2 linked regions of the Ovis aries genome follow. Each later gene encodes a partner of the first gene's protein in a complex. Links are inferred from orthologs where the notes say so. Each region holds a gene or a part of one and is shown on either strand. Other genes may lie near its edges.

Region 1 (3,748 bases):
TCCTGGGTTAAGCCTGCGCTGGGCTGGGAACCGAACCATACCCCACCTTCACCCCACCTCACTCCTGTTTATCCCGGGGAGTTCTCGCCGCTACCCCGGGCGCCCCTCGATCCCCAAGTCACTCTTCCTCCAGGCAGCCCTTTTCCCCAGCGGGGCGGGAATGCTGCCCCATTCCCATCGTTGCCCGCTGGGGAGGGTTCCTTGGGCGCTTTGCGTGGAAGCCTGTGTGTTGGGCCTGATGTAGGAGGTGAGGGTGCGGCGAACAGAAGCAGGGGCTGCCCCTGCCCCGAGGCGAAGAGCTGCAGGGAACGACCAGCGATGGTGTCGCGGTCACTGCGGCCACTGCGGCATAGTAGGGTACCGTGGCGCTTCCCGCGGGCTAAGGCGTCTGCGCCGCAGCCAGTGATCCCCGCGTCTCGGTGGCCACCTCCTGGTTCCCCGACCCACCAGGAAAAGATGCTAAACCCCGCGGCAGCCGCGCCCTACCCTGTCCCCTTAACGCGGCCTTCTTACCCAGCCTCCCTCCTCGCAACCTCTCCATCCACTACTAACCTCTCCCCAAACCTCGCCCACACACACAGATACACACGCTCCTGAGAATTCCCTGGAACCGGGACGCTGGTGAAGGGGACTGGGCGGGAAGGAAATCTCTAAGAGAAAAAGGGAGAAATCTGAGGGGTGGGGTGCGGACAGGCCCCCTGGGCGGGAGGCAGGACAGCCCCCGGGCGAGGGGCGGAGGGGCGCGGGTAAGTCAGGAGCAGGAGAGCGGGACGGAGAGTCACCTGGCTGGACAGAGGCGGTCCCGAGCTTGGGAGGGAGGCGAGCAGAGGCGGGGCGCGCAGAGGAGGAGCGGAGGGACAGGGGCCAAGGTTGGGGGCGGGAACCAGGCGGGGCGCGAGCCTCAGCCGGAATCGCGGCGGGAGCAGGTGGAGCCGCAGCGGGAGCTCGCCCGGGCGAGCGCTGGGAGGCGGCGGCTGAGCCGTGGCCATGGAGCTGCTGAAGCCAAACCGGAGCGTGCTGGGATCCGGACCCGGGCCGGGAGCTTCCCTGTGCCGCCCGGGGGGCCCCCTCCTCAACGGCAGCGGCACCGGCAACCTCAGCTGTGAGCCCCCACGCATCCGCGGAGCCGGGACACGAGGTGGGTGCCTCCCTAAGCCCCCTCCGCGAGCTCCTTCTCACTGCACCCCACAACACTCACGGAGGCCCCCATAGCCTCCTCAAACGCCCACACCATCCCTTCATAGTACTCCCTCCGTCCCCAGACAGCTCCCCTGACACATCTGTCCTCCACAGCTCATAGAACTCCATCACAGCTTCACACTACCTGGTCACAGTCCCCTCACACCCTGGTCCCCTCGCCACCCCCAGAGCTCTTGGTCACCCCCAAAACGCATCACCTTCACCAACACACAGCCCACTGCTAGACAGAGACAGTGGAAAGGCAAGGACCTCCTCTGGCCAATCCCTTCCAAGTCTCCTTTCCTCTTGCAGTCAGTTCAGGCAGCCTCAATGGGAAAGGAAAGGAAGGAAGAAAGGCAAGACTGGGGGGATGAAGGGGGCTGGCTGCTGGCAGAGGCGGTCTGGAAGACCTGAATGGGAAGTTACAGTCAGTTACAAACAATTACAGTCTCCTGTGTTGCCCGCCCCAACTCCTTGCCTTCCCCAAGAGATCCCCTAACCTGAATTAGGCTGGATGTTGGGTTGGGGGCTGATCTCCTTTGCCCTCTTCCTCAAATCTCCTTGCCTCCCAAGCTGGAGTTCTCAAGGCTCTATACCCTCTCTCTTTTGGTGTCTCCAAGTAATGTCTCTAGGTCCCTTCCAAGCCCCCTCTCCAACCTGCCTTTCCTTAGGTTTCACCCTTCTAGAGCCTGGCTGCCCCATTCATCATCCCGCCCCTTGGGCCACCTTTCCCTCCCACCCGCAGGCTGCTGTCACTCACCCAGTCCCTGAAATGACTTTCACTCCTCCCTTCACTCCACATCTACATTTTCTTGATGACCCAGCTCCAGTCATATTTCCCCTTCCCATACCTTTTCTTTCCTTAAGTGGTTACTAGACAGCTGCTACTATAGTCCCTAGGCTAGGTGCCAGACACACAGGACTAAACTAGAGCCAGTCTGGACTCTCATCTTCAATGCAGGAAAGAGACAAAAACCAATGGGAGAAACCACAGTCAGCATTTAGAATTCCCATAAGAGGGACCAAATTGTGGGCACCCAAAGGAGATGAGATCTGAAAACTTCACAGAGGGAACCTTGAAGCTGGAGTTCAGGAGGCAGAAAAGTAATAAGTGGGATTCCAGGAGAGGGAACAGCATTAAGCAGAAGGAAATTATTCCAAGCTCTAGAAGGGAAAGTGGGAATAAATTGTAATTGAAGGATTTATTTACCTCCATAAAATATCAAAGGCTTTCTCAGCTCACTGTTATACACTCTCTCATTCTTACACTTGGATACTTTCACTCAACAAATATTTATTGAATCAGAGATTGTGCTAGACACTAGGGACAGGAGTAAAACAAAACTGACACGGTTCTTATTTCAAGGAGCTCACAGTTCAGTCGGAGAGACAGACAAGTAAGCAGGGATTTGCCAGACAACGAGGGACGTGCCTTGAGAGGGATGTGGGAACATAGATGAGGAGCACCTCTAGCCTAGCTTAGCCTTGGGAATCAAATTTGACCTTCTGAGGAGGTAAAGGGTAAATTGAAAAAGAAATTAAAATGCTGAGGGAAGTACTCTGTGACAACCTAGAGGAGTGGGAGGGGTGGGAGATGGGAGGGAAGTTCAAGAAGGAGGGGCATATTGTATACATGTGGCTGATTCATATTGATTCATGGCAGAAAACAGCACAATACTGTGAAACAATTATCCTCCAATGAAAAATTTAAGAAGAAAAAACCTGAGGGAAAGTCAGCCAGATGAAGGGGCACAAAAGGCAAAAATCATCTCAAGCAGAGGAACAGTATGTATAAACACCCAGAGTTTAAATCCATGGCACTTTCGTCCAGTGTATCAGTTTCTGAGTGCCTGGAACATGTACCATAAGAGAGGAATGGTGACCACTCAGGATGAAGGCCAGCCTAGAGAGACTCCAGAAAAATGTGTGGAACTGTCTAAGGAGTATGGATTTTATCCCAAGGTCAATGGGAACTGCTGGAAGGTGAAGTCGTGCTGCCAGGATTAGTTCTGTAGTAAAGAGGGCGGATTGGAGGACAAGAGATGGGCAGAGGGGCATCCCTTTGAAGGCTACTGTGTTACGCTGGCCCTGGTGAAACAGGATACTGGCTTAGGCTGAGCTACTGGCAGTGGAGATGGAGAGAACTGGATGGATTGGGGAGATACTTCAGGAAGTGAAACCCACCGAACTTAATGATTTATTAGAAACGGAGAGGGAAGAAGAGGTCAAGGGGCGACATCTAGGTTTCTGGCTTAGACAACTGGGTAGTTGTGCTGTATATTGAGGATAATAAGGAAGCAGAAACATTTGAAAGAGGAGATTATCCATTCAATTTGGAACCCACTGAGTTTAAATGCCAGTGAAATATCCAGGTGGAGTTGCCCAGTAAGCTGTTGAATCCAAGGATCTGGGCGGTACAAGCTGGAAAGGAAGACTTGAAAGGTTTTTGTTTGTCTAGAGGAGGTAATGAAAGCCATGAAACTAGATTAAATCATACAAAGATTGTGTCAGATTTAAAAAAAAAAAAAAAAAAAGAGGTCCTGGGATAGGACCTTGAGGAAGACCAAGT
Region 2 (3,748 bases), on another chromosome or scaffold:
CTCAGCAGAAATCAAGTCTCAGTTCCTGTACAACCAACCAGGGCTCTGATGAAAGCTTACAACTTCCCGTTACCATAGCAATGTGAACATCTCTATTCCCCCAGGATGTGAGCAGAGCTGCTCCCCACCCCACCTTTCCTCCCAAGCCCCCTCAAAGTCCCTTCCATCTCTGAGATTCTGTGATTCAATTAATTATCAACAAGGTCTGCCCCGTTTTTGTCATTTTCATGTACTCCATCTGCTGAGTCACTGAGTCCTGCTCCAGAAGAGACTGGTTATTTATCAGAACATTTGGCTACTGGTTGCCATGGACACCTCACAGCCTGCTTCTTTCATCACCTATTAATTCTCAGTAAGGCTGGCTGTGAGCGTGGGTACCATAGCCCCTTATACAGGATCCAAGGGACATCAAAACTCCCCCAGACAGGGAGGGGGCCTGTTGACGCATGAACAAAAGCAAAATCTCTAGTCTCAACTGTGGAAAAATCGAACACAGCCTAGAGCTAGTTACATCCATCCAAACCAGGTCAATGCAGCAGTTTATCAAATAAGTCAACTAAACATACCACTCGATTTTCTGGTTTTCTGGCAAACGCTTTAGTCTGTTTGTTAACCACTTTAAGATGTATTTTTATATTGAAAGGTGCAGATTAATATCTCACTTTGAAAACAAAATGAGGGAGGGAGCCTGGAAGTGTACGAGCCTCAGGGAACTGGCTGAGGGCAGGGTGGGGGTAGGAAGGAGTAGGGGAGGAGGGGCAGACTTGAGAAATGATAGGGAGCCACAAGCTAAATCCAGCTCAGTGCAGAGAGCATCAAGGGCATGGGAGGGGGGACACTCAGGATTCTCCAGGTAAATCAGGTGAAGGGGCTTCAGAGGCAACCAGGATGCAGTCACCAGGCAGAGAGAGGAGGGCCATCAGCCCACGGCCCATTGCTCCTGATAACCGTGACACATCCTGTTTGCAGAGCCTGACAGAGGGGACAGAGGATCAATACCTCACTCCACACTCACACACTCCCTGTTCTTCAAACATCAACCTGTCGTGAAACACGCTTTCTCTGAATCTAAGGTCACTTGGTTCATCTAAATGGGATGTGGTCCAAGGGATGATCAGCAGGTGTCTGACCCTAAGGACACGGCAAGGGACTGTACCCCTGACCCCAGGTTGTCTGTCTCCCACCCGCCCTCATGTCCAGCTGAAAAACTTGCCCCCACCCTGCTCCTACCCCTCACCGTGAAGGTCAGCTCCCCTTCTCTTCCCCCACATCCGGATGACGATTGAGGACAGGGTGGGGCGGGGGTAAGGCACCTGTGCCCACCCCTATTCCTCTGCACTGGGGAGCCTCCCCTCCTGGGAGGGGGAGAGGTTTGGGAGGGGCCTTGAGGGTTTATAAGTCAGGGCTGGAACACCCAGCAGAGCGGAGGAGTGAGGCTTCGGGCCAACACCAGCATCACCCACCTCCCAGCTCCGCAGGTGAGACCACCCAGGAAGGGAGGGGAGAGGCTGGGACGAGGGTTGATGGGACCCCTACCCTCATTAAGTTACCAGGCTCACATCTCAGTGTCTCCGGGGCTGAGACCCTTCCTTTAGCCCAGAGCTGGGTTAGGTCTCAGCTCTAGGATCCACCCTGGCATCCCAACCCTTGCCTTCGAGCTGCCCCACTCTCTCAGCCAGGGCCCTGCCCTGACTCTCTGGCGCCATGCTAACCCCAGCCCTGAGGGGTTAGGATGAAGGCTATCCTCCCATCTCTCAGGTAAGAAAACTGAGGCCCAGAAGGAGATGTGACTTGCCCAAAGTCATACAAATTGGACAGGATTGGAACTGGAACTCATCTCAAGCTATTTCATAGACCAGCACTGCCTCATGGAACTTTCCATGATGGTGGTACTGTTCCATAGCCTCACTGTGAGATACAGTACTGGCCAGCCACATGTGTGCTAGAAATATGGCTGTGTGAGGGAGGAATTCTTTTAATCTTTATTTTCATTTATTTATTTGGCTGCCCCAGGTCTTAGCTGAGGCCTGCGAACTTTTAGTTTCAGGATGTGAGATCTAGTTCCCTGAACAGGGATCAGACTTGGGCCCAGTGCATTGTGAACTGAGGTATAGCCACTGGACCACCAGGGGAGTCCCAGGGAATTTTTAATTTTGTACTAATTTAAATGTAAAGAGCCACCTGTGCCTGGAGGCTGCCATATTGGACAGCATTGCTCTAGAGCATAGATTTTTCAACTTTGTGTCTTTAGCAGAAGAACCCTTCCTCTCCCAAAGGAAATTTAACAGAGAAAACAGATGAAAAAAGTATTTCATGTATACAAATGTGTTCTTTGAAGGCAATATTCTTATCATTTGCTTTCAATATAGCCAATCAGAACAATGAGGCTGAAAGAACATGAAACTTTCGAATCCTCAGAATAGAATTTTAGATTTGTTTGAGCATCCATTTTATTTTTGTATTCTGGTTTTCCCAAACTTGGCTCACCTTGATACAGAGCTGCAAATGGTGACAGTTTCCGGGTCTTTTTTTTTTTTTCAACTGGTAGATTGTAATCAGAGGAGATGTGCATGCTAAGTCACTTTGTTCATGTCCACCTTTTTGCGACCCCCATGGACTGTAGCCCACCAGGCTCCTCTGACCATGGGGGTTCTCCAGGTAAGAATACTGGAGTGGGTAGCCGTGCCCTCCTCCAGGGGATCTTCCTGACCCAGGGATCGAACCCGTGTCTCTTATGTCTCCTGCATTGGCAGGCGAGATCTTTACCACTAGCATCACCTGGAAAAAATCAGAGGATAGTCCTTAGTTAAATGAGAATGGCGGGAGAAACTTCCCTACCACAGTGGGACCCCACCATGCAGTGAAGTTGCTGTGGGCTTCAAAGAGATGCTGTGTGCTTCTGAGTGTGTATATCTCATCCATATTAGTATTTAGAAGTTCACTTAAACCGCAAGACTTTAACATTATAGAGCCACTCACATGGCCTCAAATTCTACAGAACAGTTTGGAAAGCCTTGCTCTGAGTTATAAATTCCTTGCCTTTAAAAAAGGCAAAGGTTGAGATTGGAGGATCAGGGGAGGAGATGGTAGGACCAGGAGGAACGGTCCACAAGCCCATGGAGAATTGCTGACCTGTCGGCAGGGAGGAGGGTCCACCCTGCCCCCGGGTGCCTGGACAACCCCACCTTTAAGCTCAGTCCCTCTCTCCTTTGCAGACAAGATGCAGCGACTGTGTGCTCATGCGCTGATCTTGGTGCTGGCTCTGGCCGCCTTCTGCGAAGCTTCTTGGAAACCCCACTCCCAGCTGCAAGACGCGCCCGTCGCTCCAGGGGCCAATAAGGGCCAGGAGCCTCTCAGGATGGACCGGCTGGGCCTAGCCTCGCACCCCCGCCGGCAGCTGGGGCTTCAGGACCCGCCACACATGGTCGCAGGTAGGAGCTGCTGACAACCGTCCCTGCTTGCCTCGCCCTGCCTGGTTTGGCCAAAGCACCCAAAGCCTGGTGGTCCTGGCCACGGTCTCTAGAGCCTAGATGTCCTTTCCCCCATCCTCACCTCCTCTCCCACCTCTGACCCTCAGACCTGTCCAAGAAGCAGGGGCCATGGGTGGAGGAAGAGGAAGCCGCATATGGATGGATGGACTTCGGCCGCCGCAGTGCTGAGGAAGGGGACCAACATCCCTGAGAACTGAGCCTTGGAGCCCAGTCACCTCCTGGCCCAGCCCAGCCCCATGAAACACACATCAAAATAA

Evidence for each region.
Region 2: the proteins of CCKBR (region 1) and GAST are in contact, whole or in part, in a cryo-EM structure (PDB 7XOW), measured with the Homo sapiens proteins. The link is inferred for Ovis aries from reciprocal best matches to the Homo sapiens genes CCKBR and GAST. Residues at the interface, in NP_795344.1 of Homo sapiens: Cys107, Pro114, Asn115, Gly118, Thr119, Phe120, Met134, Gly135, Val138, Tyr189, Gln204, Cys205, His207, Leu222, Val349, Tyr350, Ala352, Asn353, Arg356, Pro361, Ala363, His364, Leu367, Ser368, Ile372, His376, Tyr380; in NP_000796.1 of Homo sapiens: Glu85, Ala86, Tyr87, Gly88, Trp89, Met90, Asp91, Phe92.

The regions. Positions count from the first base shown.
Region 1 is NC_056068.1:46,513,859-46,517,606, reverse strand, and holds the start of CCKBR (gastrin/cholecystokinin type B receptor), read left to right. Parts: upstream 1-894; 5' UTR 895-987; coding exon 988-1,138; intron 1,139-3,748. UniProt on the Homo sapiens protein: Receptor for gastrin and cholecystokinin. The CCK-B receptors occur throughout the central nervous system where they modulate anxiety, analgesia, arousal, and neuroleptic activity.
Region 2 is NC_056064.1:41,660,235-41,663,982, forward strand, and holds the start of GAST (gastrin), read left to right. Parts: upstream 1-1,424; 5' UTR 1,425-1,478; intron 1,479-3,215; 5' UTR 3,216-3,220; coding exon 3,221-3,431; intron 3,432-3,577; coding exon 3,578-3,681; 3' UTR 3,682-3,748. UniProt on the Homo sapiens protein: Gastrin stimulates the stomach mucosa to produce and secrete hydrochloric acid and the pancreas to secrete its digestive enzymes. It also stimulates smooth muscle contraction and increases blood circulation and water secretion in the stomach and intestine.